Linked DNA regions of Astyanax mexicanus. The protein of the gene in region 3 purifies or fractionates together with the protein of the main gene of each other region. This does not show direct contact. Links are inferred from orthologs where the notes say so. Each region holds a gene or a part of one and is shown on either strand. Other genes may lie near its edges. The genes, in order: pard6gb, pard6a, llgl2 and DDB1- and CUL4-associated factor 1.

The links.
Region 1: the proteins of llgl2 (region 3) and pard6gb purify together in Homo sapiens (affinity purification with mass spectrometry; 4 studies listed by BioGRID and IntAct, counting the BioPlex papers as one, with this or other methods). This does not show direct contact. The link is inferred for Astyanax mexicanus from reciprocal best matches to the Homo sapiens genes LLGL2 and PARD6G.
Region 2: the proteins of llgl2 (region 3) and pard6a purify together in Homo sapiens (affinity purification with mass spectrometry; 5 studies listed by BioGRID and IntAct, with this or other methods). This does not show direct contact. The link is inferred for Astyanax mexicanus from reciprocal best matches to the Homo sapiens genes LLGL2 and PARD6A.
Region 4: the proteins of llgl2 (region 3) and DDB1- and CUL4-associated factor 1 purify together in Homo sapiens (co-immunoprecipitation; 3 studies listed by BioGRID and IntAct, counting the BioPlex papers as one, with this or other methods). This does not show direct contact. The link is inferred for Astyanax mexicanus from reciprocal best matches to the Homo sapiens genes LLGL2 and DCAF1.

The regions. Positions count from the first base shown.
Region 1 is NC_064410.1:36,208,051-36,216,344, reverse strand, and holds the start of pard6gb (par-6 family cell polarity regulator gamma b), read left to right. Parts: upstream 1-4,877; 5' UTR 4,878-5,160; coding exon 5,161-5,232; intron 5,233-8,294. UniProt on the Homo sapiens protein: Adapter protein involved in asymmetrical cell division and cell polarization processes. May play a role in the formation of epithelial tight junctions. The PARD6-PARD3 complex links GTP-bound Rho small GTPases to atypical protein kinase C proteins.
Region 2 is NC_064416.1:25,813,522-25,822,370, reverse strand, and holds the start of pard6a (partitioning defective 6 homolog alpha), read left to right. Parts: upstream 1-5,520; 5' UTR 5,521-5,788; coding exon 5,789-5,851; intron 5,852-8,849. UniProt on the Homo sapiens protein: Adapter protein involved in asymmetrical cell division and cell polarization processes. Probably involved in the formation of epithelial tight junctions.
Region 3 is NC_064422.1:31,517,000-31,525,423, reverse strand, and holds the start of llgl2 (LLGL scribble cell polarity complex component 2), read right to left. Parts: upstream 3,353-8,424; 5' UTR 3,063-3,352; intron 1-3,062. Other genes in the region: galk1 (galactokinase), read right to left, coding at 4,465-4,545, 4,626-4,788, 5,390-5,540, 5,628-5,809, 5,953-6,088, 6,265-6,384, 7,119-7,308, 7,967-8,134. UniProt on the Homo sapiens protein: Part of a complex with GPSM2/LGN, PRKCI/aPKC and PARD6B/Par-6, which may ensure the correct organization and orientation of bipolar spindles for normal cell division.
Region 4 is NC_064419.1:10,125,459-10,133,226, reverse strand, and holds the start of DDB1- and CUL4-associated factor 1, read left to right. Parts: upstream 1-4,486; 5' UTR 4,487-4,543; coding exon 4,544-4,583; intron 4,584-7,279; exon of another isoform or gene 7,280-7,507; intron 7,508-7,768. UniProt on the Homo sapiens protein: Acts both as a substrate recognition component of E3 ubiquitin-protein ligase complexes and as an atypical serine/threonine-protein kinase, playing key roles in various processes such as cell cycle, telomerase regulation and histone modification.

The DNA.
Region 1 (8,294 bases), on a different chromosome or scaffold from region 3:
TGTGTACACTGGGGACAGAAATTGCATGCATTCAGTAAAATAGCCCTTTATATATATATTAAATAAAAATATTATGATTATTATTTGCTGAGCATGCAGTACGTTTCTTCATTCCCTTGAAAAAAAAAACAGCATGAAGGTTGTGATCTCACTAACATCAAATGTTACTTTCCTAAAGGGCTAATTATCCCAGGATGGACAGAGTGGGCAGGAAAAAAAATTTGGATGTTTAAATAGCTAGATATTTTTGTGAAAATAAAATTCACAATTGAAATGCCTAAATTATAAAAACTAATATATTTATTTTTTTTAAAAAATGTTGCTACTTAACCATTTCTTCTAAATACTGTATTTGTAATATTGTGTTAATTCAGAGTAAACCTTAAAATGCATTGTAACACAGTGTGTAATGTTAACAACTATGCTGAGCACGCAAAAGGAATGTTATATTTATATTGACCAGTTAAAAAAAATAAGTTTTATTTTTCCAAAGAATAAACTGTTCCAAATCAGCTTAGACTTAATATCTTTGGAATACATTAACTTGTGTTAAAAGTTGAGTGTTTTATTTTGTCATGTAAAGTTACCACATTAAAGATATATTTTTTTGGACAATTAAAAACATTATCAAATGCATGAACAAATATTGTGACAATCCCTTCTGTCATGGTCAGACCCTAAACTGGACAGTACTTCAGAGCATTTATTGTGTTTTTTCAGCTCCTATCCTTCAGATGAGCTGCATGAAGAACTATATAACTGTTTTCAGTGGAGTAACACTGACATCTAGTGCTCTTTACAGAAGCTGAGCAAGTAGGGGGCGGGGCTATATGTACAACTACTCATCTGCCACTAGACAGAGAAACAGACAGACAGACAGATTTAATGATCGAAAAGGAGAATTAGGCAGTCAGTTGCAGGTTATAGGGCAGTTACAAGTGTAGTGTAATGCACAGTATACTGTAGTGTATAATATTTAATGTTTTAGTTTACAGTAATAGTTATGTTATTAGTTTGAGTATTGAACTTGCTGTATGCTGTTATAGAGTCAGTAACAGGTTAACTAACAAGGCAACAAGTTACATGCATAACATGTGATGCACTACATTATTTTATATCTCATTAAACATAGTTAATTGATGCAGTAATGCTTTAATTCATTACTAGACCATTAGGTAGCTCACCTGGTAGTCAACACCTACTTGATTAATTTTAAGAAATAAACATAATGACAGATACTAGATATTTTCTTTAGTTGCACTTAGTATCGTCCTTTAAGGAAACAACCGCAAACAAAATTGCTAAACAATAGTTCAATTTTTTTAAATAAGCTTGTCAATTTTGTAGAGTCTATATGTAAAATAATTGTAAAAAATAGCTGCAAGAGAGTTTCATTTAAAATACCACTAATTGTCAAGTACACTCTAAGACTGAAAAAAAAAAAATAATTTAGAAATTTCATATTTAAAAAAAAAAGATAATTTGTTGAAAACTTGAGTTAATTAGACTTAAAATGTTTAGGTACTATCCCTAAATTGTAAGTTTTTGTTAAAGCAATTGCTTTGTACAATAATCCTACTTTAAATGTTATTGTCAGGTAGTAAAACAGAACTTTCCATATCTAATGTTTGGAAATATAATTATATGTAAAAATAGAACATATTTATTTGAGTTCAGACTGTTTTTTGGTTTATAGTTTATTGCATTTTTCTCTATATAATTACTTAATTGGTTAATTCATGACACTCCTTTTTTTCTGTCGTCTTCATTTATAGCTTTCCCGTCCACTGTCCTTGTCCATCTTCCAGCAGCGTGACAATTGTCTTGTATAGTTAAATTGGCCCACATTTTTTGTACTTTCACTGCACAGTTTTTTTCTTACATATTCACATAATCACTGTGTTTGATATATTGTGCAATTGTGCATAAAAGTGCATAAACATATCACTCCAGTAAATATCCTCTTTTAAGACCTCCACTTGAGTAAAAGTACAAAGACTAGATTTGCCTTCAAATGTATTTAAATATAAGTAAACATAGTCTCTGTCTTATTTCACAAATCTTTTAATAGAATGTCATCAATTATCATATATTTTTTGGTCTATAAGGCTGACTGAAATTATTCCAAAAGAGCATGGACAACTCATCCAGGAGGTCACAAAAAAAACAGAACTGCGGGTCTCACTTGCCTCAGTTAAGGTCAGTGTTAATGATTCAATAATAAGAAAGAGACTGGTCGAAAATAGTATCCATGGGAGAGATCCAAGGCAAAAAAAAAAAAAAAAAAAAAAAACAACAGTCCATTTCAAATTTGTAAAAAATCTTGATAATCCCCAGGAATTTGGGGAATTTTGCTGTTTTACCAGACAATCCTAAACACACTGCACTGACACTTTACAAGAACAAATACTGTTTACAAACACTGTCACTTTAAACCGCACTGAGACACTTTGTCCTGTACTGCTCTAATTCCATTATCATGCTGCTATAGCAAAACTTGCACTCTGGACTTCATGTTGCTGCTACCTGTCTACTCTGCCTATATTTTATTTTTTTGTGTATTTATATTTATCTATTATGTTCTATTCTATTTTTATTGTATTCTTTTATTTTGTTATCTTATTTTATCTATATATCTATTTTAACAACAGCTCTTGGTTGTAAACTTGAGATCACAATTTCGTTACACCTCATGTACCACATGTGATGCGAATGACAATAAAATCTCTTTGAATTTTTTAATCCTTAAAGGAGAATGTCCTGCCATCTGTTCATGATCTCAAGCTTAGGCGTACTTGGCTTCTGCAGCAGGACAATGACCCAAAGCACACAAACAAGTCCACCTCTGAATGGCTTTAAAAAAAAAAATGAAGGTTTTCGAGTGGCCTAGTCAAATTCTGTGGAATGATCTTAAACAGGTGGTTCATGCTGGAAAACCATCCAATGTGTCTGAATTAAAACAATTCTGTAAAGAAGAGTAGGCCACTATTCCTCCACAGAGATGTGAAAGACTCATTGTCAGTTACGGGCTAAGCTTGATTGCAGTTGTTGCCACCAAAGATGATTTGGATATTTTTTTTCCTTTAATCTTTCTCTAATATTAACGTTTGTTTGATAATCTAAAAAAATATCAGGATGACAAAAAAGCAAAAACAAAAAAAGTCTGCAGGGGGCAAATAATTTTTAACGTCACTGTATATATATACATATATATGTATATATATACAAAACTTCCTTAATAGGAAAAAATGTGATGAAAACATCCATTATATTTGTTTGTTGACTTATTTACACTTACTGTTATATTAAATACGTTTATTTCTATTGAAAATAGAAGGTCGGTAACAGTAAAATCTGGAGAAATATTAGCCCCCTCTAGGGGACAGAAGAGCATTGCATGCTATTCACACCACCACTGTGATTTATTTCCTAATGAGCTTAGTTTGGCAAGTTTATTCAAACTTTTGCTTCTTATTTAAGCAGGAACATTAGTGTACTAAATTTCTAGCAATTAATTCAGATTAAAAGTATCTTAAACTAACGCATAAAACGTCGGCTGTTAGAACTTTGCTCTATTCTGATGCTGGTGATTTTCCGTGGTTTAACCGGTAGAACAGTTGGAGGCGCTGAGAGGACGGTGTTAGGGAGGTTAAGCTGGCGCCTTCTGGCCGCACCAACACAGTAAAATCCAACAGCTGATGTGTAAACATCACAGCACACTGGGTGGTGGGTGGTTTCACTCAGACCAATGGGATCATGCTCAGCAGTGTCTGGTAGTGTCTGGTTTGAGCCCAAAGGTAGGAAAGAGGAGCCTTAAATCAGAGCCAAGAAAATGTAAAATCATGACTCAACTAGAAAAAGAGAAATATATAATAAAAGAGCTTGAAAACAGTTAAAAAACAAACAAACAAATACTTAATTTCCAGTGAACACTCAATATCAATATTTAAAAACTAAATTATTATAATTCGAAATTAACCTACTAATAAAAGTATTTAACAGCTTTTAATCCACAAAAATCCTTTACTTCAATAAAAATAAATACTTTCTCACATTTGCAGTAGTTTATTGTTAAACGCAAAAATAGCACAAATTTTGTACAAATGTGTCTAAGAAAAAGTAACGCCGTATATTCCAGTTTGGCAGTTATGAACTTTAAAATAAACTTGTATTCTTTTTTTTAAAGAACCGAATTTTTTAATTACCGTCAGCAGGTGGCGCTACTGTTGGTATGTGCGGCTGCGATTGAACGTTTTTGTTTTTTTAACCACCCGTTTTTCGGACACACCACGCCCCCCGTGCTCTCATTGGCTACTTGGTTCAAACTCAATCCGCCCGACCAATGGGAGAGGCGAGCAAACAATAATAAATAAATAATATATTCCGAAAACAAAATAAGTTTCAAAAAGCGTAGCTTTTATATTAGTCTCACTTTAGTCATTAACAATTACATTTAATATATTTTTTTTGTATTATTGCTCAAATTTGCAGTACAACTTTACTAACTTTATATCAAGTTTCTTCTTGTTTTTTTGTTTTTATTTTATTTTATTTTTTTTTCATTGCTTCTTAATTTTGGATACCTATTTATTTGTTGTCATAATAAATTATTTATAATTCATACGAGATCACATTTATATTTATATACCATTTATATATAGATAACTGTATGCATAATGTTACTGCAAAAAAATGCATAAATAAAACAAACTTAGCTAAAATACTAAAGCGGCGTCAATGGATAGACAAAACCCCGCCTCCATCGAACCAAAGGACCAATCACAATGCCGAAGGCGGGATATTTCCACGAAAATAGCCAATCACGTTAAAGGGAGCGTTTTCTGAGTACGGGTACGGAGTACGGGTGTGAAGCCAGTTGGAGGAGCTGTGGCTGAGTTCATGGAGAGACACGGTGGTGATGTCATTCAGTAAAGTTAAAGTGAGTGTCCCTGACTGAGACGCTGCTTTTGGGCTCTGTAACGCTTTTATTTTTCTGTGAAAGTTTGCGAGCTGCGGTGTAGCGGACTCCCCGAGGACTTCATGCTCCTGCACACCGAGAACTAGTGGGAGTTTGTGGGATATAGGCGCTCGTCTTCTCTCCCTCGAGCCCCCGAGCCGAGGGTCGGGCTCAGTCTGGGAACTTTGGAGCTTCAGATCAAAATGAACCGCAGCTTTAATAAATCGCAGCCTTTACGGCCGCTGGAGCTGGACGCGGTGGAGGTGAAGAGTAAGGTAGGTCTGGAGGGCTTTGGGTTTAAAAGTACTGTGTTTACTCTTCTTAAAACACTGGTGAAATAGTGTTTTTTTAAGTAGGTAAAGGTGGGCTAATGTAGCTAGCCCCCATGTCAACTCACTAACCTAACTAATATTAGCTCTCTGCTCTGAGCTGTCCTCCACTGTGTGTCTTCTGACACTCAGTATTAGTGATAACTACTTTTCATCACATACCTGCTGTTTCTGAGTTAATATTTGGGGTGTTTGAGTTGTTTATGCTGCATCTACAAGCAGCCAGACTGCTAGCAGAGTAGCAACTAGTGCATCTAAATAAATAAAGTAAATTGATTATCATTAAAAAGTTACTTTATTTCACTAATTCAGTTAAAAATATGAAACGCATATGCTATATAGATGTATTGAACACAAAGTGACCTATTTTAAGAGTTTTTTTTTATTGTTGATAATTATGGCTTACAGCCAATGAAAACCCAAAAATCATTTTCTCAGGAAATTAGAATATTATATAAGACCTATTGGTACTTTTGGCAGTGTGGGCAGTGTGTCAAGTCCTGCTGGAAAATGAAATCAGCAATCTCCATAAAAGTTGACACCAGAGAGAAGCATGAAGTGCTGTAAGATTTATCTGGAAAACAAAACTGCACTGACTTCTGACTTTATATAACACAGTGGATCAACACCAGCAGATGACATGTCTCTCCAAACCATCACTAATCATCAGTAAATTTTGCATTTCGTTTGGAAATCAAGGGACCAGAATAGAGTGGAGAAACACAGTTCAAGCTGCTTGAGGTCTAGTGTGAAGTCTCTACAATCAGTGATGGAGAGCCATGTCATCTGGCAATCTACTACTGAAAATCTAAGCTTACTGTAAGTAAATGAAAGCGCTTTACTTACACAAATTAACAGTTTTCAGGAGAGAAATCTGTGTAGTTTAACACCCATTGCTCATTTTACTTTAAAAGTAAATGTTTTGCTTATATGGCAACACCCTTGTTCCTTACTATTGTCACCTAAAATGTGCCTTATGTATGGAAAGAGACCAGAAAATAGACTTTCATTGATGGTGTGCCTTATTATAGTCAGTATAATACAGTAGTCTAAAACAGCTCTTCTGACAACATCTCTCTCTTTAACTGTAAACTTGCTTTAACTGTGCAGTTTGGGGATTTCCTAGACTAGGAACACACACACTTATTGAACGGTTGATTTGAATCAGGTGCATGAGCAGGAATATCTCCAAAATGGACTTGAGCCTGTCCAAGAATCCCCTGGAGTAAAGGGCCCACTGTCCAGATGTCATGTAGATTTCTTCTATATTTTGCTTGCAGTGTGTATCTTTTAAACTCATCTGATTGTTTACTGAACCCTTTTCAAGGGCAGGTTTACAATCACTGGTCATCCTTTAGTGTTTGTCTATCTAGTTCAGGAGTGGCAAGGTCTTTTGAGATATTGGGCCACATCCAAATCTTTCCATTTTTTAAAAATAAAAAAAAGCATAACATCTAGAGATGCATGATGATATCAGAATTATATCACTATCTGTCGATAATTGCTTTTTTAAAACCGATACTTTCTCTCTACATTGACTGCACTACTACCATTGATTTTAAGCTCATTTTTATTTATTTTTATTAGCTTTAAAGTTATACCAGGGTGTCCATTCTCTCTGTAAGTTATAAGTATATATATCGGAATTGGCAGATAAATACATGTGTAATATTGAAAATCGGCATTGACATTGGTGCATCTCTAATATCATTCTTACACTATATACACAGCAGACAAATGAAAAAAAAAAGAACATAACTGTATCACTGACTGACTAACTACAATAATTACAGCCTCTGTCAAAGCTATAATACACTACATCCTATATCCAAATGTTTGTGAACACCCCTTCTATGCACTCAGCTACTTTAAATTACTCTCATTGCCGATAAAAATGTGCAAATGCACACGCTGCTTGTCTAGTCCCTGTAGAAAAGAATTGGCAGTAGAGTCAGACACTCTGGAGCAGATAAAAATGAACCTTTTGACACTGTGCCTAATACTAGACATGGACTAGAGGAGTTTAAATCCTCTCAGCATTTAGTTATGGTGCAGTGGGGTTGTATTCCCTGGGAAGCAGATACAGTTTCTCTTCCCCAAAAAAGCAGGATTTTTAATTTTTAATTAAATAATAATTTTTAATACCCTTGATTTCAGAAATAACAGTAAATGAGCAAGTGTTGTAATACTGTTGTCCATATAGTGTAAAACAATGCAAATTAACTTTATCTAGACCAGTTTCAGAGTTTGTTTTGACTCTGCAGGTGTGCATTGTGCTAGATATCATTTCTGTAGATCATTAAGCCCTACGTTAGTGAGGCAACAGTCAGAAATACTGTAATTAGTATTTTTTAAATGAATTCCCACATGGTGTGACACACCAAATGTGTAAAAATTATGTTGTGCATTAAAACACAGTGAAAGCTTTTAAACGTTAAGTGGACTGAGGCAGTGTTCTTACTAATTCAGAAGTCTCGCAGGTTTTAAATTGGTTCTGCTGTTAGGTTTGACTGTGTTTTCCCACATCTAGCTAAATGGCTGTCTGTGTGTTCATGCAGATTAGAACCTTGATCGGACCAGATCCAGCCCACTGTCTGTATGTTGACCTGCGTGATCTGATCTCTGTCTGTCTGCTGCATCTGTAGCGTATAGTTGATTGTCACGCACTCAATGTTTGGCCATTGGTTTTTATTTTAAATGTGTGTATTATTGCAGTGGAGTTTCTCTTCTTTTTTTTAAAGATTGTCTGTGGTAACTGTCACTGATTGTATGTTATTGATGTGGCATGGTTTGCAGGTGCCTCAGCTATCTGCTCATTCTCACCATGTAGAGGAAGAGGATTATTTTCCTTCTTCTGTTTCTTGCAGCAACATGTCTTTAATTGACTGATATTTCAGAGTAGTTATTTTTCACATTCAACATAGTATCTCAGAATAATCCGATCTCCAAATGATGTACTTGAATTGAAGTCATTATTTTGGTTGCACATTGCTTTAACAACTAAACTA
Region 2 (8,849 bases), on a different chromosome or scaffold from region 3:
CATTGTGCAAATGAAATTGTCTAAATGTATTTTGTCTTGCTTTCAGTGAAACTAAAAATTTGTTACTATTTATTGAACACTGAACTTTTTTAATATCCCAGCAGATATTGCAACAAAGCAGAATACGACTTAAAATCAGCGGTAACACTTTATAATAAGGGTGTATTAATCAACAGCACTTAAGACAAAATGTCTCAATTATTTATTGACTCCAGTTAAATTTCTCTCAATTATTAATTGACTCCAGTTAAATTTCTCTCAATTATTAATTGACTCCAGTTAAATTTCTTATTTTTAATGTCTCTAATTCATTATTATTCACAACATTCTTAAGCTTTAAAATGTATTAATGTTTAAAATTGTCTTACCTAGTGCTGTTATTTGTGAGCATTATTGTGACGTGTTATCAAATTAGTTATTGAGCGGTATAAATCATTTAGGTATTTTTTTTTACTTTTTATTCTCACTTATAATGTTTATTCATGTTTTAGCCATTTTCTCCCAAATAATTTCAGTTCCCAAATATTTGGTGCAACAATAGCAGAGATTTCAAATTTAAATGAGGAGAAAGCTGGTCCATTCAACAATAAAAGCCCCAACTGTGAGACAATACTTGTATTTTTGTGACAGTGTGAGTTTGGCAACTTAACTTTTATAGCAGATATTTCATTCTATTGACGTTTCATATCTATGTTTGAGACATAAATGTTACAAAATATACTGTAGTCAAGAAACTGAATACAGTTCCTGTAGACTTACAGTCCTGAGTCCTGTGTACTACTGCTACAGATTCATTTATGTTCAGTAGAATTAAAGACTGGATTTTGAAGACACTCATTCTTAAATGTATGTTAGTGAACGGCTGCTTCAGTCAGTAGGGTGGAGCGGGAACGGAGTAAAGCATATCTTATCGGCTTTACTGCCAAGCAGACCTCTTTCAAATAGCTCACATTCTTAAGCATCCTTCACCTCTACAGCTGGAAACCAAGACTCTCTCACCGAACTCACACCTAACATGCTCTTCTGTTTGGACGAAACCTTGTATGTGCTCTAAAACTTTAGCAGTGAGGGTAACGGAACAGTGCGTTCAGACAATTACAGGAAACTGTCCTCAAGAGTAAACATTTACAAGAAATAAAAATGATGTAAACAAATCCACGTTCTCAAAAAAGAAAAGAAAAAAAGGGCCTACCTTGAACGAAAATGCCATGAGTCACCAGAGGCTCACAGATGACTGAAGATGAGTACATTCTTCCTTTAATTACTGACCACGCTCTTTAACAGGGTTCACTGAGGAGGATCTGGTTTGACAGGTGAAATTGTTTATACATGAGTGTACTGAGGAGTGAGGTAATTACCCTGCACACATGGCCAGACAACCTTTTCCTGCTGTCTATGATCAGAGAGCGCACATGCTAATGGCTAATCTACAAAGAACTGAAAGATGTAGAGATAAGTCAAACAACAAAGCAACAGGTCATCATACTACTGACATGACCGACAGACACATGACAACAATGACAAGAAGAAAACTCAACAAACCTGTGAGGCAGTCCATGCACCCGTGACCTTCTCCGAAAAGTCCTTATTAATGATAAAGACTTTGTTGATGAGCTGAGAGAGGAAGTGGGTGGGGTGGGACTGGGTGGGAATAAAATGTTTTTGGCCTGTTGCAGGAAATTGAATTGAGAACCAATCCATGTTCTGGTATTTCATTATTTTTAAATTAAGCCCTGACATCACATTTTTAATATTATTATAACTCATATAGCCAATACTGAAAAACATGGTTTTGAGTGGCTGTTGATTTTACCTAAAAAAAAATATTATATTATATTATTAATTATGTTTTGCATCTAAACATGAATGCATTGAGTTTTCTTAACCAAACTACCTTCCTGGTTACTATCTGGTTATATGATTGCGTTGTGCTTTTCTTGTTTTATTGTTGAAGGCTGTAATGAGCAAACTTTGTGCTTTCAGAGAATCAGAGAAATTAGTTCTCTCTGATTCTTTGTTGCCTAAGTGATAAAGAAACCACACATACAATACAGCACTATCCAATCATCATTTGTGAAGTTTATACTGTATAAGTTTAGATGGATGAACAAAAAAAACTATATATATGAATATTAAAGAAAGGGAAATCTATGACATCTATTAAGCAACTACACTTCACAGAGGCTAGTAATGCACAGTCCTGTAAGCAATATGTACTGAAATGAAGGACATCTCCATTAAGTGGTTCAGGTATTTTGGGCTAGTTCTGAGGAATGTGTTCCAGAGCAGGTCCCTCCATGAATGGTCACAAGAGTGTGAATGAGACAGTGTTCTTGTCTCTATGATAAAAAACAACCCAGATAACATGCCCAGGTGGGGCCTGTATGGGTAGCCCGATTGGGAAGCAGAAAGTTTTATCCACAGGTTCCTTGTTGTTCCCACATATGGATGTCAGTGATGGGACCAGGAGCGGTTAAACATCTGCCCTCTTAAGGTGGGATGTGACGATGTGGCTCATTTCTGAAGTACATTTGGGTTCTAATAAAAACATCTCACCCATCTCAAACATCAACACCCACTCAGAGCCATGCCCACCTTGAACCCACCTAGCCCATGTTCCACCCATGTAAACCCCACATGAACATGATGATTGAGAACCCTTTCATAAAGTATTGTATCTTTCTGCTCCATATATTTTATTTTCACATTTTGTCACATTAAATGTTCTTCAGTGTAACTAATTTAAAAGCACTGATGCTCATTGCAATAAACAAAAGGTTTGGCACATTTAAAAGTAGCAGTTGTGCGATTTTAAACTTCACTCTTCTCCCAGCTATAGACACTGTGAGAAACAACTGAGAGAAGGTTTTGAAGTGAGCTGACTTATGTATCACTAAGCTAGGAGATACTTTCATGTCAAATCAGACAGAATTCCTAAGACAAGCTGCTGCGTGACTTTAATTCAGATTTTATTTATTCTTTTTTTATTTGTTACTTGTGGCCTACATTCTTAAAAGAAGACACTGCCAAGATTTCCTTGACTGACTCCACAGAACAAAAGTATTTAATCAATTCTCATTAATGTCCTGTTAAAATAATGTTTTCTAAATCCAAGGTCCAGAACATCATACCATAATGAACCACTTTTCTTTTTTTAGCGCTATACACATGACTTCCTTGTATTTTAAAGATGTCTCATCATTATGTACTCATCACAATACGCCTATCACAATGCAATGTGGACGTGATATTTTGGCAATTTAATTCATTTTAATTTATTTTGCTTTGCAGAGCCACGTGGACAATATTATTTAATATATGTAGTTTTATTGTTTTAGATATTCATTATTTAATGCATTGTTGGTTCGATAATCATGTTTGTATACATGCCCTTCAAACAACTGTTGTTTGATGAAACACATGAACACGGCAATATTTTGCATGATGGCGAACTGATGGAGTTACATTAAGTTCCACCAAATTAAACAAGGGCACTGTACAGTGGCATACTATAGCTAAAATTATTCTAAAAGAGAACCAAACAAATTGTTGATGCTCATCTACTGGCATATTTAGAGGGCTAATGTCAACATCAGTGATATTTCATCCACTAACAAAGCCCACACAAAATTACACAGTTTGATGTCTGTTGTATTTGACCTATGACCAGAGCTCCAAGCAACTGCTTGATTTGCATGAACTTTTTCCTCTGGTAGTGAATGGTGAAAAATGCTTTAACAAAAAACCTAAAACGTTAGCCCATTTAAATGTGTGTAGGGTTGCACGTTGCTTTAAATCTTGCAGAAAGGGCATTCAGATAATTAAGCAAGTGCTATTTTTAGGGTGCTTTCACACCTGCCTCGCTTGGTCCGGACTTTCGTACTTTTTAGTTTGGTCCGAACCAAATTAGCAGGTGTGAAAGGGGCCGCGAACCACCGTCCGACCAGATTTTGGTCCGACCAAGAGAGGTGGTCTCGGTCCGGATCTTTTGAACCATGGTCCAGTTCGCCTGCAGTGTGAAAGCGCTTTTCTGGATGGTTCGAAATTTCGGACCAATTACAGGAAGCTGAGCAGGCGTTCCTCAGCAACGGCAGCAGAAAAGAAAAATAACCAGCTACTACTGACTGCATCCTGCGGGAAGGCGGAGTTGGACGTCCAGCGCGTCTAGTCCCACCCACTTTGTCCACGCCACGCCTTGTCAGTCTCGCAAGGTTGTAATGTATACACAGTATTTAAGCCGTACGACGCGGCACATTATATTTAAAGTCCGCTAACTGCCCTGTACATTGTTTACTTCCGTACAGGGGCGGGACTGGACGGCATGACGCTAACAAAGTGGGCGGGACTAGACGGCATGACGCTTACAAAGTGGGCGGAGCTGGACGCACTGGACGTCTAACTCCGCCTTCCTGCAGGCTGCAGTCAGTACCCTCTCAAAATAACCGGAAAAGCAGGAAAAATGAGCCGTGGATACAGTTGCTTCAGGACAAGCACGTTCGTTTAGCGAATTTGAACTAACCTAGAGTACTGTGCCTGAAGTTGCTGCTGCTGGTATAAAAACCACAATAGCAGCACTACTATGTAGACGAAATTAATCTGTTCATTAATTTCATCCTTATCCTGGAAAGGCTTTCCATCGAATGAACCACCCGCTGAATTATCAATCAATTGTCGTCAGACGCATGTCCTTCCAAAACCAATCAGCGTCAAGTTAAGGAAAACGCATCGATACGTAAGTGATGAAAGGATGTAGGAGTATCACACAAAGGTCTTTGGTGCGCTCCCTAAACTGCAGTGTGAAAACAAAAATAAGCGGACCAAATATATACAATGTAGCAACACATGAACCTTGGTTCGGACCACGGTCCGGACTTTCAGGTGTGAAAGCACCCTTAATCTGATTATGAAACCTCTTTAATATAAGCAAATAAACAAATTTGTTATATAGTAATCAATGCAAAATGTTGGTAAAAAATTAATGCAAAACTGGATTGAAATAAGTCTTGTGACATTGCAGAAGCTTATGGAAACAATATTAGTGTGTGACCTTTTTTTGGTGCTGACTTTTTTTGGCCAGGCAGTGTATTTGTTTGTTTATTTATTTTTCACATTAGTAACAAGTGCTAGTACTAGTTAATTAGTTAATTAATACATTAATTTATTTATGTATTTATTTGTGACTGCAGTTTTTTTATTTGGTTAATATTCTGACCAAGCACACATTCAAACATTTGAAATAGCAATTTATTTGCATTTGTAGTATAGAAATTGTAATAAAAAGGTTTTGATTGGGTGGTTGGATTGAGTTTGATAAACCCTGTCTAACAAGGTAAACCAAAAAAAATCTAAATGTAAAAGAATATCAGAATTTTTTTTTTATATATTATTTATTTATTAAGTGCTGATACTACTACCTGGCCTGCTCCCTGGCGGTGACGTTCCTCGTGCGGGCGTGCCTTTACCGTGGGCGGGACGGCGTGGGTGCTTACGTCATTGTTATTGAAGGGGAACGGGCGCCGCCCACTCCGGGAGCAGCAGCCTCTAACGGTAGAGCTCGCGCTGCCCGCCAGTACTGCGGATCGAACAGAGCTGCGCGCGCCCTCCCGCCCTCCGCTCCCAGACAGACAGACACCCATCCATCCATGCTGCTCTCAACACCGCCGCTACTACTGCTGCTGAGAGCGAGCGCGCGCCCTCCGCGCTGCCTTCTGTAGGGATTTAGAGAGAGAGCGGAACGAGCCGTGACTGGAATACACACAAACACACACACACACACACACTACTAACGATGTCGAGGAACCAGAGGACGCCGCTGAAGAGCACGGACACCGTGGTGGAGGTGAAGAGCAAAGTAAGTGTGTCTCAGTCGTGCGCGCCCGAACCCGTGCGTACAGCTAGGTGTCCGTGCATGTGCGTGTGCGCGTGTGTGTGTGTGTGTGCTAGGTGCAAGACGACAAATGTGTTTGGCTTGAGCCCAAGTTGAGCGGCTCGGGCTCCGGTGTTCTGTCAAGTTTTGCTACCTTATCAGACCGTGCTACCCTAGTATATATTTAACTGTAAAAACATTAAATGAGCACCTTACTACAGCATGTTACCAGTAGGTGTGGGTTAGTAGGGTAGTTTATTTGGATAGCATAAATCACTGTATCATGGTAAAGTCATGACAAAGAGAGGTTATTATAAACAGCTTTTTCTTATTTTTTTTTAAATAATAATAATTGTATTTTTTATTATTATTAGTTTCCATCTACACTTCTGCAATGACAGTGAGTTATATTTTTTATAGATTTTTTTTAATAAACAAAAGAAACACGATAAAGAAATAAAAAGTGTAGATCAGCGCATGCGCAGTGCCTTTAGGAAGCACGTATCGATGGGTAGCACAACTCGACAGAACACCCCCCGGTGGTGGAGCGCAGTGCTGGTGCAGTGTGTGTGTGTGTGTGTGTGTGTGTGTGCGCACGCTCGATGCTATGGACGCTCGTGCGCAGTGAAGCGACCGGGCCCCGGTGATCAATTATGCATGTTGGACACCGTGCAGCGGTGCGGTAAAATATCAACCATCCGTCTGATTCTGCCCACCTGCCATCAAACCACTGCCCGTATACAGCAACGATGAGGGTCAGCACTGCGAGGACATCACACACACACAGAGCATGGACACCGAACTGCCGCCTATAGAAAGCTGTAGCCCCGGGTACACACTCGACTGTGAAATGGTACCCTACGTGTCTTCCACTGTTTGATGTAGTGTCCGAATTTTACACATTTCGCAAGTAAACCGTGGCTGGATGTCAGTGTCTTCGCTATGACACTGATACTCTCGTGTGTAAACAAACCCAGGCTGTTGTTGACTGGTCACATGCTCCCCCCCTACCAGTCTTACCCAGTCTTTACACTGGTGGTGATGGAGAAGCCAAGCTTCTTCACAGCTAAGGGAGCACGGGAGTAGGGCTGAGAGCACGGGCTGGCACAATTCTGATGATACAATTAGACACATATATACAATTATTTATATATATGTATATATATATATATATATATATATATATATATATATATATATATATATATATATACATATATACATATATACATATATACATGCCCTTTTTATTCAATAAGAGCAGTAGGGATCTCAGGCCAGGCTATCTACTAAAACACAGTGCAAAAAACAGTGTCTGACTCCTGGATCACACTGCTTGCCATCAGCAGCCGGTATCCGAAAGAGCACAAATGGTCTTATTCTCTCAGCCGTGAGAAGATGACACTTTCTTGTCACCTGACTCTCACTGTGATGTTTGGTCAGCTGCACAGGTGTCTTTTAGCTTTTATATCAACGCTGGGTAGCTATGCTTTCTTTAAATTGTTTTGGGTGTCTTTTTTATCCAATAAGGACAGTACAGATGGTTTAAACGCAGTGAAAAAACAGTGTCTGACACCAAACTTTACATATCTCAGTGTTTAGTATCGATACAGTATTGCCAAACATAATATTGTGCTACTTTGACATATTGACATAATTTTCTTACACCCATAGGATTCAGTTGAAATAAAGCTGTTTTTTAACTACCTGAAATGACCAATGGACCTTCACACCAATGAGTCTCCTGAGTGTCATATGTAGTGATGACTGATTATGATGATTGTGGCTTCCATAGCAGATTTATCTTTGTGGAGTCTTATGAGTACATAAACACACAGGCAGTGAGGAAGGTATTAGTAACAACAGTAACAGAATGTTTTAAAAGAAAAGGTTGATACGGTCAGAGGTTTATAATGTCAGTATTGATTATTTTTCGATTAATAACCCAACCCTACAGCATATCTGTTAGAAAAGGTTTTAGGGGACTGAATTGCCTGAGAGTGAAATTCTACAATGTAAGTGGATTAAATGGTACATTTAAAGTCACAAATCTAACCTCACAACTGTTGGTAAACAGTGCCTCAGTCATTAATGTATTTATGTGGATTTTAAGAAATTGTTCTTTGATAAGTTTTAACTGATTTAGATCTGGTGAGCTCTCTAAACCAGAGTATTACACACCAAGTCGTGCTGGATGACATTATTTATACAGTAACATGCCACTTTTTTCCAGAATGCCCAAGACTGCCAAATTGTATGTCTGTTCATTGACAGTTCTCCCCAGATATTACTGGCCAAGTTCATTACCACCCTTGGGCTGTCTACTGTGGGTGGTAATGCCTTATTAAGTGTTTATCTACAGAGGTGACATTGTGAATTGTTAAATGCCTGAACAACTTCCAAACTGAATATCCCATCCATCTAGCATCCACTATTACACCCCCTTCAAAATATGGTAATTAATGTCACCTTTCTCATCTGAGCATGCTAGACAGTGTTCAACCTCAAATCAAATTTCTCAGAAAATAACCATTTAATTATGCTGAAGTTTTAAACATCTGTATTGATCAATACAGTGAAAACGTTCATCTGCAATTTACAATGAGGTGAAACTTTCATGATAAACGGATGGAAGAATTGGTCATTTAGTCTTATTGCTGTTTTAGAGCTTTGATTTTTTTTAACCACAAGCTGCTGCTGACCATGGTGTTTTTGCACATGTTGTGTTTGTTGTGTTTACCCCAAGAATTTCAAAAAGGAAAGCAGCAGCCAGGCTCACTGTGGTGTGTCGCTCTCCCTACCGAAGGAATGTCAGACCAGCACACCATGAGAACTGCGTGAAAGCTAAGAATAGGAGAAGCAAAAATTCAGCATTTTTCTCGTTGTTTTCTCGTATCTTATAAAATTAGAGGTCTTGCTGTGGTCGGTGCCACTTCAGACAGACAAGGGCTGGAGTCGGATGTGGGCAGACGGCCGGGTCTGA
Region 3 (8,424 bases):
CTTTGTTATTAGGGACATTACACCTGGACACACATTTAGAACGGATATTTCAGTGTTTTAGGAATGCACAGGTGGTCTGGGACTATGTTTGCTTTAATTTCAGAGAAAGCAACTTTAAGTATTGTGCAAAACTATGGCACTACTTTTGGTTAAATAATCAAGAACCCTTTATGTCCCTGACCATGTGTCAAACCATTTTATCCCAGAACCCAAACCCTACTACATTCTTTTGAACAAACATCTTAAGATATGTAAATACATGTTTCAAGGTTACCATTATATGGCGATATATGTCTACAAGTTCAGCTTCACAGTAAGTGTGGATGTTGTCTGCCCTAGTTTACCAAAACAGAGTCATTTAGTCAAATGTAAACATCTTTAGGTGCAAAGACCAAACAATAAGCGTGTAACTTAGTCCCTAGGGCTGCACTTTCACAGGAAGTATGTATGAAAAGTAAACAGGACATAAAAACACAAATTATGACATCAGACTTGGCCTTAGCTTAGAAGTTTCATATGTAGGTACAGTGGGTTCAACATCATCTACTGACTAATTCTGCATACACTCACTCACAAGGCACTTCATTTAAAACATCTATACTCTTATTGAAGGGATGGTACATCTAGAAATAGGATCTCCTTAAAATCTCCAGAACTGATGACTTGAAGAAAGTCATCAGTTCTGCTGATTAAATCACATTGTTGATGAGAAAGTTCAACTGAGAATGGGTAGGTAGGTTTGAGCTGACAGAAACGCTACAGAAACTCAGGGAACCACTCTGTACAATTGTGGTGAGCAGAAAAGCATCTCAGTGCACAACACACCCAACTTTGAGGCAGATGGGCTACAACGGCAAAAGACCACATCAGGCTTTACTCACAGACAAAAAAAAAAACTGTACACAAAACTGAAGACATAAACATGACCTGGTCTTGATTTTTGCTAAAGCATACAGATGGTGTGATTATTAATGTATATAAACAACTTGTCTTGTGTCAACAGTCCAGGTAAGTGGGTATACACACAGTAGTATACACACACGTGGTGAACATTTTCTGTGCATACTATGAGTCAGTTAATTTCAGTGAATAAGTGCTTCCCTTTGTGGCCAAAATGTATCCCCTTTGTAACTGTTACTTCCACAATGTCAAAAAGCTAAAATCATATCAGACTGGCCTCATGAATGAGCAGCTTTGGGATTCACAGACTTACATGCACCTGTATAATCAGCAAGCGGTGTGTGAACAATGTCAACATGAACCAGAATTTAAAAGGAATGTTTCCAAGACCTCGAGGAATCCATGTTTTGAAGAATTACAGGCCCTACCCTGTTCAAGTTTAAGTAAGTGTACTTACTTACAAGCACTTTCTGAGTGTATATCCAATATTCAACAGGCTGAGTAACAGCATTTTTAATCTCCTGACCAGGCCTACACCCGCATGGGCGATCAGCCTCGGTCGGTTTGCATAACGTATGACACGCATACGGCAACAGAGTAATATGAGCAGCTCTGAGGCGGATGTGATTGTCTTCTTGCTCACTCAGACCTGACAAACCGGTGGAACAGAAACACCTTACCTCATCCACTCCGCCCCCAACCCAGAGCTGAGTGAGTGAGTGGCCAGCAAGGGTGGGCCAGAGAGTGAAAATCCAAACCAGGGTTTTGTTTCACCTGCCTGAGTGGGATTTCTTTAACTGAGCTTTAGCAGTGCAGTCTAGGTTTGTGTAACGATTATTAATTACATTTTCTGACTGTTTTAGACTAAATGAAAAAAGAGAACATTTTATGTGAAAAACTCATTTCATTTTTTATGTAGTGCAGTGTACTATTTTTTTCCAATTTTAGTTTTTCTCTGCCCCTCTATATATATATATGTAGCTATATATAGCTATATATAGCTACCTATATATATATATATATATATATAAATATATATATATATATATTTTTTGCATTTTGTAAATAAATAAATAAATGATAAATGAAATTAATTCAATAAATAAATTGAAAAAGCATAAAAAACATTTCTTCTTCACTATACTGAATGAAAAAAATTTGTTCAAGTAATTTATAAGTATTTTCGAACTTAGCTTGACACGGTCAAAAAATTAAACTGCTAAACGTTACACTAACCCACTCTGGGCAGGTGGAACAAAATCGTGGGATGGAATTATTAGTTATGTACTGGACCTGGATTTGACACTTCTGGTGGCTTGTAGCTACGTTTTAACATAAAAACAGGGAGAGATCTAACTAGCAGCTAGCTAAATAGTTAACTAGGTTACTTTACTACAGACACGCCTCACTAAACCAGTTACCTAGCTAATTAAACTGTTGCTCAACAGATGTGCTAACTAGCTAGTTAGCTAGCATATAATTATATTAGCATATAACTATATTGGTAGTAGGCTAACGTGTCTGTAAGTTAAATCTAATAGCGAGCTAATTAAATGTCTGGATTTGTATAACCTACAAGTTTATACAATCCAAGCAAATAGCCCGTCGTAAACCTGGTAACTATGAAAACAATCTAGTTAAGGTACCTAGGTAACTAACTAGCTAATAATAATAATAATAATAATAATAATAATAATAATAATAATAATAATAATAATAATAATAATACTTTCCTTGAGCTTGGCGTCTGGATGAAGGTTAGAGTTAGCTAGTTTCTGTAGCTACCTGACCGCACGGAAAGCACAATACAATTAAAACTAAAGGTTTAATCACATTAAATCCTAGAGAGTTAAATCAGTTAACTAGCTAAACTCTGATGAGTTAAAAAGGCGACTTCTCAGCAAGCTAAGCTAGTTAGCTTAGCTTAACGATCTAGCCAACTACCAGTCTGAATGGGTAGCTACACACTTCTATCTCTTTAAAAGAAAAGCTCTCCTGCTGCTAAACACAGAACCAAGATAATTAGCAAGCTAGCTAATTAACTAGGTACATGAGCTAGCTAAATCTTAGCCCCAAGCACCTGTAGCTAGATATCCAGCTAACCGAGCTTTAGTTGAGCGGTGAGCGGAACCAGGCGGCACCGCGGCCCGTCAAAAACTCACCTGATCCGGGGCGACGCTGTTGTCCCAGCGGCTCTCCTCACTGTTTACGGATGTTGGGCCACACTCCTAGGACTACTTTTCTTTTCTTTGAGGGGGAAAACCGCCGACTCCGTACGTTTAGGTCAAAGTAACACACATATAAAACCTAAAGTTAACGCAGACACATACAGTTTCTCTCAGCTTCCAGATCCCCACTGCAGCCTCGCCGTTTCCTGCGGCCCCAGGCCCGCTGAGAGTGGAGGACTTTTACCTCCAGCCAGCGCAGCTACGGATCTCTTGACTGCAGCTCAGGCTCCTCCCAGCACTTCAGCACACAGAGCCGGGGAGCGCAGCCCGTCCGGCAGGGGGAGAGAAAGACCAGCGCACAGATAGACACAGAAATACTGGAGCTTTTAATATTTAAAATCATTTATTTATATGAGAAATTTGTTGTAACAAAATATTTATTATAATATTTATTATAATATTTATTATTTTAAGATCAACTTCACAGTATCAAGATAAAAAAATATTTAGAGACATACTGATTTATTAAATTGAATGAAAAAAATATTAAAACAGAATCAACTCTTAAATTAAGGGTGAATGTAAAGTCTCAAAATATTATTTTTCTACCTTTGTACTTTAAGGGCTCCACATGAAGGCGTTTACAGCAATTAAATTAATTTCAGCATGTGGAACCACACAAATAATAATAAAAAACACTATTATGATTACTTATTTACAGTGTTTTGTTTTATTCATCAATCATTTAATACCTTAACAGCCTCTTTCAATTGGTTTTTGTTTTTCATTTTATTTAAGATTTATTTAAAATTTTAATTAAAATTTATTACATAAAAATATTTTAATCACAATCATAGTACAATTCTCAATCCTGTTAAAATTATCTGCAAAAGGGCAAAACATGCATATTAGTCAGAAATTATAAACAACATGCTAAATATAAGAATTCTAAAGTGCTATGAATCATAAAAATTGTATTAGTGTTAAGCTTTTTCATATTTAAATTTCACTACTGACAAAAATTGTAGATGAAAAAAATGTAAATAATTTGCTATGCCTCTCTAGTTTCAAATTAATTTAACAGGAATAACAATTGTAATTCTAGGCTCATTCATTTTTAATATCAAGCACATGACCTCATGGGTGGTAAGAAGACTCTTAGTAAATGATTATAACAGATAATCATTTTGTACTCATATTAGAACATCTGCATTATATTCTGAAAAATATCTTTACATTTTTTTCCTTCATCATTCTGACAGAAAATCAGAAAAGATGAGAAAAGCTATTTTTATCAGTTTGGCACTGATTATGTGCATAAGTAGAAAAAAGAGATGCAGCAGAAATCAGATCCACTGTTCTAAACCACACTGCAGGAACAGTTTTAACTTAAGTGTTAACTCTTCATCCCACTGAGGACCCGAGCTCCTTCTGATGGCGTAGTAATGTAAAAGGTGGGACGTCCGCTGTATTTCTCCTGTGTGTAAAAAAAAAAAAAGTAAGTTAGAAACAAAGGGTAGAATAAAAAAAAGATATAAAAAGCAAACTGCCACGAACCTGTATATGTTTTATGGTCCTCTCAGTGGCATCAGCCTGAAGCAGCGTTACAGTACATCCACCAAACCCTCCACCTGTCATCCGACTTCCAAAGACTCCATCAACCTCCATTGCTGCAGCTACCAGTACATCCAGCTCTGGACAACTGACCTCATAAAGATCTCTGAAAGTAGACAATAATCGAACTATTCAAGTGTATTAAAAATTTAAGGGGAAAAAAATATAAACACACTGTTAAAATTAGATGGTTTGAATTGTAAACTAAAATACAGGCCACTCATTTTCTGTTGCAATTTTTTTTTTTTTTTTGCTGAATAACTGAGAATGTTGGAAACAAAATAACGCATACTATATAAAATGTACCATAACTTTTGTACATGCCCCTTAAATTAAACAAATACAGTAATTGTGTATTCAAATGTGTGCAGAATGTATCATCTGTTTTACAAAAAAAATCACCAAACCTTTACATCCAAATTTAGTCTAACTGAATATTTTTCAGTTTTCTTCCTAACTAAACAGAGTCATAATGAGGCCAGAAATGTAAACATTTAGATGGGATTAATGAGCATAGTTTCTGTAAGATACATTCTTTGGAAAGTATGCTACATAGTACTTAAACTTGATTTTTTTCAGGCTATTCATCAAATGAATAAACCAATTAAACAATCTAATTTTTGTTTGGAGTTGCCATAAATTGTTCCAATTGTTTACCAGTTTGAATCTTCCTGCATATGATGATCCTAATAGAAAGTACTGTGTACCTGAGAGAATTGTGACTTTCCACCATTAGTCTTCCAAACTCTGCATAAGCCCCCCGTTTGAGTGCATCAGCTGCCTGTGCCGTGCGTGCAATCTCTTCAATCACATGATGTGCTCGCTGGTATGTCACACTGTCCATTCGGTCTTTGGCATCTACAAATAGTTGGATTATTTTAATGCATACTCACAGTCCCACAAATAATAGAAAAAAACATTTCTTACAGCTTCTACAATTCTTACCCTCCAGATTTTGCATTGTTGCATCTCGTAGACTGCTCTTGCCCAAAATGGCTGCTGCATTCTCACACTGTTTTCGTCTGCTGGGATACTCACTTCCTGTTAGTGAGTGCCTCACGTTGGAATTGGTGATGAGGATGACCAAAGCTGGATCAGCCAGAGGAACAGGAGTGGCCTCCAGAGACCTTAAACAGACAAACAGTGACATTACTTAACAAACCACTGGCAACTTTTAAGCCTACTACATATATCCAATACAGTCCATTAGTTATTGTCCCAGTGGTGTTCCATCAACTGGTAGACAGAACAGTATTTGAAAGAACTGTACCTGCAGTCAATAAGCAATGCATGACCCTCCTTTCCCAGCACAGAGACAAACTGGTCCATAATACCACAGGGTACTCCAGCATGGGTGTGCTCTGCCTGCTGACAAGCTACTGCCTTTGCCACTTTATCCCCATCATCTGTTCAGAGAATGTAGAGACTGTTGCATTAGCAGGTTGACAAACACTTATGTCAGCTAAATTAAAGTCTGTAGCCGATGACCAAAATTAATATTAATCTTTTTAAAGATAATGTATGCATGCATGATGTCAAACAAGCTCAGAACATCACTAACGTATGACACATGTGTTCCTACCTGGACACAGTTGCTGAAGGAAAGTGTACACTGCCACTTCTAATGACGCTGAGCTGGACAATCCACCCCCTAGTGGAACACTGCTGGCGATCACAGCTTTAAATGCAGGCAAGGGTTGTGCTGTGTACAAACCAAGTCATACATTCAATATGTAAGCTGATATATGGTCTTTATTTCAAAGCAGCTTAAACACAGCCTCTTCTCATTCCCTGTTAAGATAAATCTAAACCTTGTGGCTCATTGTCTAAAAATGAACCATTAACAGTGTCCCAAAGCCTGAGCTGTTGTAGGTGGGCTGCAGTTCTCAGTTGCTAAGTCAAAGAAAGAGTGTTCTAAAGAGAAAGCCATATCATGTTGAGCCAAAATTTGGAGTAATTTAGAATACACAACTGATGTATCCTTTATGGCACTCAATTAGATGAAAACTGCAGAAAACAATGCCTCTGGAGGAGAATTTAGTTCTGTGAAGATATGAAAATCACATGAATATCTGCACCACAATGTTTCATAGGTCTAACTAATAGACTACTGATATTGAGCCGTCATAGAAGAAGCCTACTGAGAACCCGTTCTTTTTTGACAGCAGCCTAGGCTTGGAGATTCATCTATTGTGGTCATAGTTTTTCATAAAATGTTTTAGCCTGTGGGGCTAAAGGTCCATCAGAAGGGGTAGGAGATATTTCAGCTCCACTTTTCAAACGTCATCATGAAAACAATTTTATATACACTTTCTTATTATATTTTCAATCTTACATAACATCTACAAGTTGTCAAAGACAGAGTAAATGTCCTGTAAATGTGCCATGCTGTGCATGCTCATGAATAAAGGCAATCTGTAAAACTCCTCAGGGTACCTCTATAGTGTTGTACCACCCCTTTAACATAGTTGGCCCAGGCTGGCCTCCCTCTGGTCAGGGGTGAACTCTCGGTCGGCAGATCGAAGTCCACTCTCCTCGGCTCATCTGCGGAGTCAGTAATGGTTTCAACTGAGCAGCTTTGGCCAGAGGTGCTGCTGCCCACTATAACTGTAACCAATGGCAAAGCCTGTGATCAATCAGAAACACAGCAAAATAACTGTAATGCAAATATTATAAAATATCACAAAAAAGTACAAAAAAGATCAATTGTATAAACAAACAGTTAAAACCCACAGCATGTAACTTAACTAATTAATTAATTTTTGAGTTTTGTGTTAAATGTTGTCAAATTTGCCTTTTTATTTCTGTTTTTTTTGTGATGTTCCAATACACAAAATAAATAAAATAAACCTGTGTATAACGAAACATGTAATTGAAATCATTTTTTGGGAGAAATACATTTTCTGGAACAATTTCAGGGTTGCCAACACTTTTGTCCATGACTGTATGAAGTGTTGTATTGTCAGATAATGGATAAATAAACATGACTAGAATTTTAGAAAGTTGACAAAAGTTAATCAATCTCATAAATAAAAGGGTATGCTATGGTATGACCTAATGACATGGTAGTGAACATGCTGTTTTTCATATATAAACAGTACAACCTTTGGAAAACATTGTAGCAACGTTGTCAGAAAGTTGTGACTATGTGTGCTGGCTGGTTGGTCTACAGTCTAAACTCTAGAGTGCAAAATATTACCAAATATCATCTAATGAATTTCTGTTTAGAACTAAATGTGCATTAAATCCTGAACTATTTAATAGTGAATGCTCTTCTGCTTTACCATTGGCAGAACCAGTCCCTGGTTGTAGTCAGTGTGCTCTCCTATCAGGTTCACCCGCCCTGGAGCACACACAGCCACCTGCGCTTCTCCCCCATAACTCCGCTCATAAACACGGAGAGCAGCGGCGAGCAGAGCCCCCACACCAGCCGCAGACCCCTCTCCATCCATCCGCACACAGCGATATTAACACTGATCACTACTATACGCACACGAGCTGATCAGTGAAAGAGAAAACTTCCTGTATCTCAGTGACTCTGATTGGTTTAAAATGGTCATATGATGCAGTACAGCGTGACTGCGGTCAGATCCTGTTTCAGTGAGCAGCTGTGAACTACATAGAGCACACTACCTTTTTTAATACTAGCTGTTGTAAAGTTTGGCCCAATCCCATTTTTTCTTTTATACCCCAACCCCTTGTTTTGGAGTAAAATCCTCCACATAGCGCACTAAAGGTTGAC
Region 4 (7,768 bases), on a different chromosome or scaffold from region 3:
TATTGTGTGATAGATATTTATCAGTGTTTTTGATTAGTCGTAATGGGTCATAATCATGAAAAACAAGGTTTTAAAAATTCCACAGTTACGTTTCTTATCCAGTAAAATAGAAAAACTGAGCCTGGAGCGGTTGAGAATTTGGAACGTGGCGAGAAGATTGTATATCCACAACTGACGGACATTAAAAAGACAAAAAAAAGAGAGAGAGAGAGAGAAAATGTTAACAGAAGACCTTAAAAACATAAGAATGTATCTTTACTTCCCGCCTTTACCACAGTGTTGCAAGCACAGGCCTTAGACACAGACATTAGACTGAAGACTTTATTCATTTACGTGTGTGAATACGCTTGCCACTCCTTTTTGAATCTCTGTAATGTTGAATGGTGTTTTAACTGTTTCTTCTGTGAACACTGGTCACATGCAGGTGAACCCTCTTACAGCCTACTACGATACAGGATAAAGGGAACTAGTCCCGATCAAAGAAATGTGTGAAATGTGTGAAAGTTTTTTTTCTTTTTTTTAAATTACTTGGGAATAGAGTGGCGACTGATACAAAGAACGTACACTAAACACTGATGCCTTGTGCTGCTGTCTCACTGAATGTATTGGTGAGGGTTGCAGGGTTCAGGAGCACTGCTCCTAATGCCTACATCTCACTCCAAGTCTTACTCAAGCTGAGCTAAGATGTGCAGACTTTGCCTAGTCTCTTTATGTGGGTCACTGTCTCCTGTAATACTCCTGTAATTTTTCACCCCAACCTTTCCCGCTTCTGACACTTCAGTGGCTGAAACGTCACAACGCTTCTTCCATAATGTATGAAAATGAATTGAGTCAAACCAAAATCAAATGATAAAATGACGTCAAATGTGTGCCAAAACAATCAAGTTTCCCAAATAGAGTATGCTCTTAAAGATGAACACTATAATTGGAATGGACTTCCAAGCACTTCCAGGTGGAGCAACAGTCTAAGTGCTATGTTCAAAAGCATAAGTGGCCTTGACGTAACAGAATAGGCCATTAGTGTTCTCCTCCAAGTGTGTTGAGCTGTCCAGTTCTTTAAGCATATGCGTAACTGGCTTGGCATGACCCTGAGGTAGCAATCTAGCTTTTACCCTCTTAATTTATGTGTATTTTAGGGGCTAAATACCTAAGTACCCTCAAAAATGCTACTTCACAATTGCAAAAACTGAAATCACAAGAAAATAACCATTTAAACACATTTATCTTTAAGAGTGTATAATTTCCATTAAACCAAATCCACCAAATTTCATTCCAGTATCCAGCAACCAAGGATATAATCAGACAACTCGCTTCTTGTCTGGTTGTAAATTTGGGAGAATTCCACAAGTCATCTGATTTTTGACACCAAATATGAGCACTGCTTGTGCACAAACGGTACTATACAGTAAACTGTATACTGCTGACACCATCTCGCCTCATTTCTGTATCCATACGTGGCATTGATCTGCTTTATTTACAGACAATGTACCGCTCAGGCCCACCCGTACCCCACACTGCTCTGCTACTCTCCCTGCTTTTCTTTTTTAGCGGGGCGAAACGCTGACGTCCCCTGCGCTCGAAGCAGATTGGACAACTGTTCCAGAAACATCTGAATCGTACATTATCGCGTCTCTCTTATCTCTCTTTTTTTCCAATATGTAATCATTCTTTGCGTACGGAATAAACGTACCTGTTTTTATTCTTTTTCTTTGCCATTTGTCAGTTTACCAAATTAATTTATTTATAACAATGTGTATTTATTTGTTTGTATTTTTTATTTTTGTACATTTTTGTTTTTATGAGGGGCTCACGTTCTCGCAGAAAGATGCCTCAGCTGTAAACGATTGAAGGGATGTGTGTGTGTGTGTGTGTGTGTGCGTGTGTGTGTGTGTGTGTGTGTGTGTGTGTGTGTGTGTGTGTGTTTGTGTGGGTGTGCGTGTGTGCGTGTATGTGTGTGTGTATGACTGCCACCTGGCTAAAGCATGTGAAAGCTTATGGACCAATGAACAAGGGTCAGTTGTGGTCAGTGCGGTTACTTGTATTTCCAGAGTAAAGCAGTGACCTAGGCCGACAGCTCTACCATGTTCCCAGAGCGTCACGGCTGAGATGTGAACGATGCCCCAGCGTTCCATGTCCTTTGCTTACTACTCTTTACTTGAATCGAGGTATTTATTGATGTTGTTCGAGAAAAGGCTGGGTGTGAGGAGCAGATCTGTGTTCTGTTCATTAAGGTGAAATGGTCAGATGTACAGATCAATCTGAAAGCACTCAAATCAAACTGACCTGATTTTTCTCTGATTTTTCTTTTTTTGAACTTTTTTTTTTTTAAGTTTGTAAATAAAACTGAATCATGGTAAATACATATTTTGTTTGTTGTTTGTATGTTTGTTTACTTATCCAAATCAGTGTCTGGTAGACACCCACCTGAAGGCCAGGCATATTTCAACAAGACAATGCAAAACCACAAGCCAAACAAATGAAAAATGTATGTATGTGAAAGAAGAGGTTAAAATACGTTGATAAATGAACACCTGAAACAATTCATTGCTACATTATAGTCCGGTACCACTTTAAAATAAGACTACCTTTATAAAGGGTTTATAAATGTTTTACAATTAGTTTATTAATGGTTAATAATTAAGTTGTACATGCCTTAAAAGTCATTAATAATCTGTTACAACACATACGTAAAAGGACAACAATGACCTGTTTTTTGTCCAATAGTGAACTCACAGCCATCTATATTGTTGCCCTTTCTACGTATGTGTTATAACTGATTATTAATGATTTTTAAGGCATTTACAACCTAATTAGTAACTATTAATAAACTAATTGTAAACATTTATAAACCCTTTATGAAGGTAGTCTTATTTTAAAGTGGTACCCAAAGTTCTAACTTGGAATGTGTTCCTGAAGGCCTAAAGTGCAGAAATGGATGATGTACAGTACAGGCCAGAAGGTTTGGGAACACCTTATCTTTTTCAATGTGTTTTCTTTATTTTCAAGACTATTTACATTGTAGATTCTCACTGAAGGCATCAAAACTATGAATAAACACATTTAACTTTTTTATTTAACAAAAAAGTTAAATAACTAAAAAAAATTATATTCTATTTTCTTAAAAATAGAATGTTGCACTGTTAGCACTGCTGAATGTGCTAAGATCGATGTAGAACATTATTAACATTAACTAATTAAGACACTAAAAATTAGTTTAAAATCATTAAAGGTTGTTAACGTACACTTGACTTGGCTGTACTAATTGTACCCATTCTAAGTCTAAGGGCGTTTTCACACCTGTAGTTGGTTTCTCTGGTCCGAATCAGTTAATGAGTTTGTTTACTTGGAGCGTTTTCTTGCTCTGTTCAGTCTGGTTTCACACAGGCATAAATGTAAACGCACCAAAATGCGCATCAATAAACCACGCGAGCAGCCTGTGTCCTCTGATTGGTCAGAACTGTCTGACACGGGAGTACGTTAAATATAAATATACGAAAAAGTAAATACAGCGAGAAGATCTTGTGTTCCAGCACAAAATCTGTGCTTTAACACTGAACGCTGAAACGCTGCACTTTCAAACACAGTGTTTCTACGTGCAGCACAGATTTATACATAATAAACAGAGTCACGCGACTGTGAGCAGTGAATGCAGCGCAGATTTATACATAATAAACAGAGCAGTGAATGCAGCGCGTGCATGGACACAGTGTTTGTTCACAGCTGTGGTAATTAGTGTTATCTGGCTAATATATCAGTTTAAACTGTGCTTGCTTTATCAGCAGTTTAGCTCAAATAAATGGCTTATATTTAATAGCTGGATCCGATCGAGACCGGATCACGTTCTCACCACAAGCGAACCGCTCCAGAGTTCGTTTGTTACCGGACCGAGACCACCTCCTCTAGCTGGTCTCGGTCCGGTTCTTTTGATCCGCACCCGAGTGCGATTACTGTTTTCACACCGGCTCAATCGAACCGCACTAAAGTTACAAACGGACCAGAGTTCGTTTTAACCGGACCAAATAGTGCTGGTGTGAAAACGCCCTAAGTGTAATTAGTTTCATGTGTGCATTCACTGTGGAGCTCTACCTCACTCTACCTTTAGCCCAGTTTTGTCACCACAGGCTGCAAATGTAAAGCGCTAGTTCCCTCTGTTGCTGCATATGGGTAACGTAGCTTATGTTTGCTGTTATTCAAGGTGTTATAGCAGCTTTTTTATCACATTATCACAATAATAATGGAAATACGTAATCATTTATCATACGTCCATATTAGAAAAATGAACCCATACCTATAGCCAAGAGCTAGTAGTAAGTAGCGAGTGTTCTTTATTAAGAGAGAGTAAGTAAGTCAAGTAATGTGTGAGGTGAACCATCTCAGACCTACTGTAGCTCCTGTATCTCCACACCCTCTCCCACAGCAGCTTCAGCTGAGTGATTAAGATTATCTCTGAACTCCAGCTCTCACTAGTCAACAATGTTGAGCTTTACTCTGCGGGACTCTATGGGACTCCAGCTCTCACTACAATTACAGCAAACCTTAGAAAATGATATTACGGATACGATTCCGGCCTCCCAGAAGACCAGGTGAGCTCAGTCTGTCTGTCTGTCTGTCTTATACTGTTTATTCAGTTTTATTCTAACAGCCGAACCGACACCTAGGGTTGGCACCATTCAGAAATGAAAATAAGGGATGCCCACCGCAGCAAAAAAATCCTGTAAAGTAAAAATATAAATATATAATTATAAATTTGATTTGATATTTATAAACTAAATAAATGTTTAACATTTTAACATTCTCTTTTAGATTTTATAAATTGATATATACATTTCTATAAAAATATAAACATTTTGAGACAAAATATACAGAAAGCTCTACAAACCTTTTTTTTACTAGGAATTTTTATTTTAATCTGTTAGTATGAATTGCTCCTTAAATTAATATAGAAAATATTTATATTGTATAATATTACTGTATATTAAACATATTATCATTCATTTAACTTTACCTTAAAATCTTAAACAATCTATCAAATGTTCCATGCACTGATATCTTCGGGCGGTTCTGCTGATCCGGTTCTGTTCATTTAAACAGGCGAACCGATTCACACAGACTCCAGATCCACATTAAAAAATGTTATTTATTACAGGGATGGTTCAAAACATTTTGCACCCAAGGATGAAAATAAAATAGTAGCTTTTATAGATTTATTTTGAGCTTGAAACAGTTAAATTAATAAAATAGGTATACGTAACAATAATAAATGAATTAATCAGAAATAAATTGACCCATACTTTTTATCCGCTGTCTTATCTATGCTTTATTAATTTTATCAATGATGTTTTGTAAATAAATGTAATGTATTTCTTTCCTAACCTCACTGGAAACTAAGAACATGCGCATTCACACGACACGTCAACCAACGAGTCTTTGAATCAGTTGATTCAATATGACAAAGAATCGGTTCAGTATACAGGCTGTATTCAAAATGACTCTGCGTCCTCTGTAGGGTAAATATGTAGTGTACTTTATTATGTGTACTTTTTTATTTGTTATTAAATTACAGCTTTAGCATGCAAATATTGCAACATATATTTTAATATAGCCAGTAGTTAAAGAACTTTTAATTGACATTGTACATGTGTAAAATATATAGATATCACAATACAACGGTATGTAGCCACAAATAAAGAAAGAATGTTTTTTTTTTTTTTCAAAAGTTGTGGAAACGTTTTATTAAGCTGTAGAAACGAGATACTTAAGTCCTGGCCATATACATTTTCCCCATGACTTTCCCCACGAATTATCTCATTCCCAACCCTTATTAAGTCATCCGCAAAATGTAATTATCATGTTCCCAGGTTTTCATAAGTCGTGACCACACATTATTATTTATTTTTTTGACATGGTGTTACCAAAGGGGCTCTTTTAATTTCACAATATTTTATTTTATAAAACATAATGAAGATAGAAATTTGACATAAGTCACTTTCCACTAAAATTGACATCATTAAAGTTGACAAGAACATGGGGACAGACATAAAATAATTTTAATGACTAAAACTAGATATAATATGAAAAAATATACTATATAGAATTGATTTGAACTGTTAATAGAGTAATTGCAAAAAAATAATAATTTGTCGAATTCAAGTTGTATATATATATAAGCACCTGGAGACAGTCTAATGCAACTAATGTGATGGCAGTGGCAGTCTTTAGTTCATCATTTGTGCATAAACTGTGCCACAAATACATATTATTTTAATTATATTATATTTAATTATGTAATTTTAAGTGTTTATCTGGGATATTTGAGACTTTTACATCTTTATTACAAACTACATATTCAAAAAACTAGAGCAAAGCTTAGCAAATTTTAGTTTAAAGATGTTTAATTATTTATATATTGAAATATGCCTTTATTTTCTCATCACTGAACAATTTTGTTTCAGTGTTGCATATATAATTTTTTAACTCCAGTTATGGTTAGAAATTTTGAACCCAAGTCCCGCATCAGCACACAAACCAATCAGCGCACAGTAGTAGCAAAAACGCTACCGGCTTTACTGCCTAAACTCCGTTTAGGGTAGAAAAATAAAAACGTATAAGTAATAATTTTCTGCTTTTTCCTTTGCTTTATAAAATTCAAGGAAAAACCTGAACAAGTAGTTTTTATTTACTTATGCTTTTAGCCATTTAGCTCCATTCACCCCAATTTATTCTGGTCTCTCTCGCGGGCTACCTCTTGCGGTTGACATCTTTTCTGATATAACAGGGAGAGGAGACAGGTTCTGCATTAACTGGTGTTCTGTCGAGTTGTGCTACCCATCGACATGTGCTACTTAGTGGCTCTGAAACTCTAATTTTCACTGTTTTGTGTAGTATTTTTTCATGATATATTTTTTATCGGGTGCATTGTACAATCTGCCTCACAGTCATCGTTTACTTGAGTGTTACAACCGTGTAAAAAAGTAATTAAAATATGATTAAAAAATACATATACATACATTTTAATCACCCTATATTGCCTTTCATTTATCCTGATGCAGCGATTTAGGCTATGCTTAATATCATACCGACACTTCTACTGCATGCAGCATGTTCTAATAGGTTGTATTATTACAGTAAAACACACACTAGGGTAGCACGGTTTGACAGGGTAGCACAACTCGACAGAACACCGTCTCTGCTCAAACATCGCTGTTTTTTAAGGCGTCGCGAGAGCCGACCAATCCGCGGCCTGTGTTCACCGCGCAAACGAAAACAACGCCTGCATCATTAAAGGCCGACAGCGGTCGCCCGTACCGTGACGCCGGGAACGTGGTCGCCATGATCAGCTTCATGCTCGCGGCTGTGTGGAGGTAAACGGTCTGACAAAGCCGCGCTCAGAGCCCGAGAGAGAGCCAGAGCGGAGCCGCGGCGCCGCAGCGCTCAGCCCGCCTGACTGCAGCCGCCCGGGTACAGCGGGAGTGAAGGGAGCCGGGCGCGGGACTGGGGCAGGACTGAGGTGAGCCCCGCTGGCTAACGTACAGGCAGCACGCTAAGCTAAGTGGTTAGCTCAGTTAGCATGTGGCTAGGCTTCTGCAATGACAGCTATCACAGAGCTGGTTGGTGTTGTTAGCGTTAGCTAGCTAACCAAGCTAACTGGAATATAGCCAGCCAGGTGGATGAAGTGACCGTCGGACTCTATGAATAAGTCTTATATAAACGAGTCCAGATGTTAAGAAGCTGGGTTAACTAGCTTAGGTTTAACCTGCTAAAATGTGAA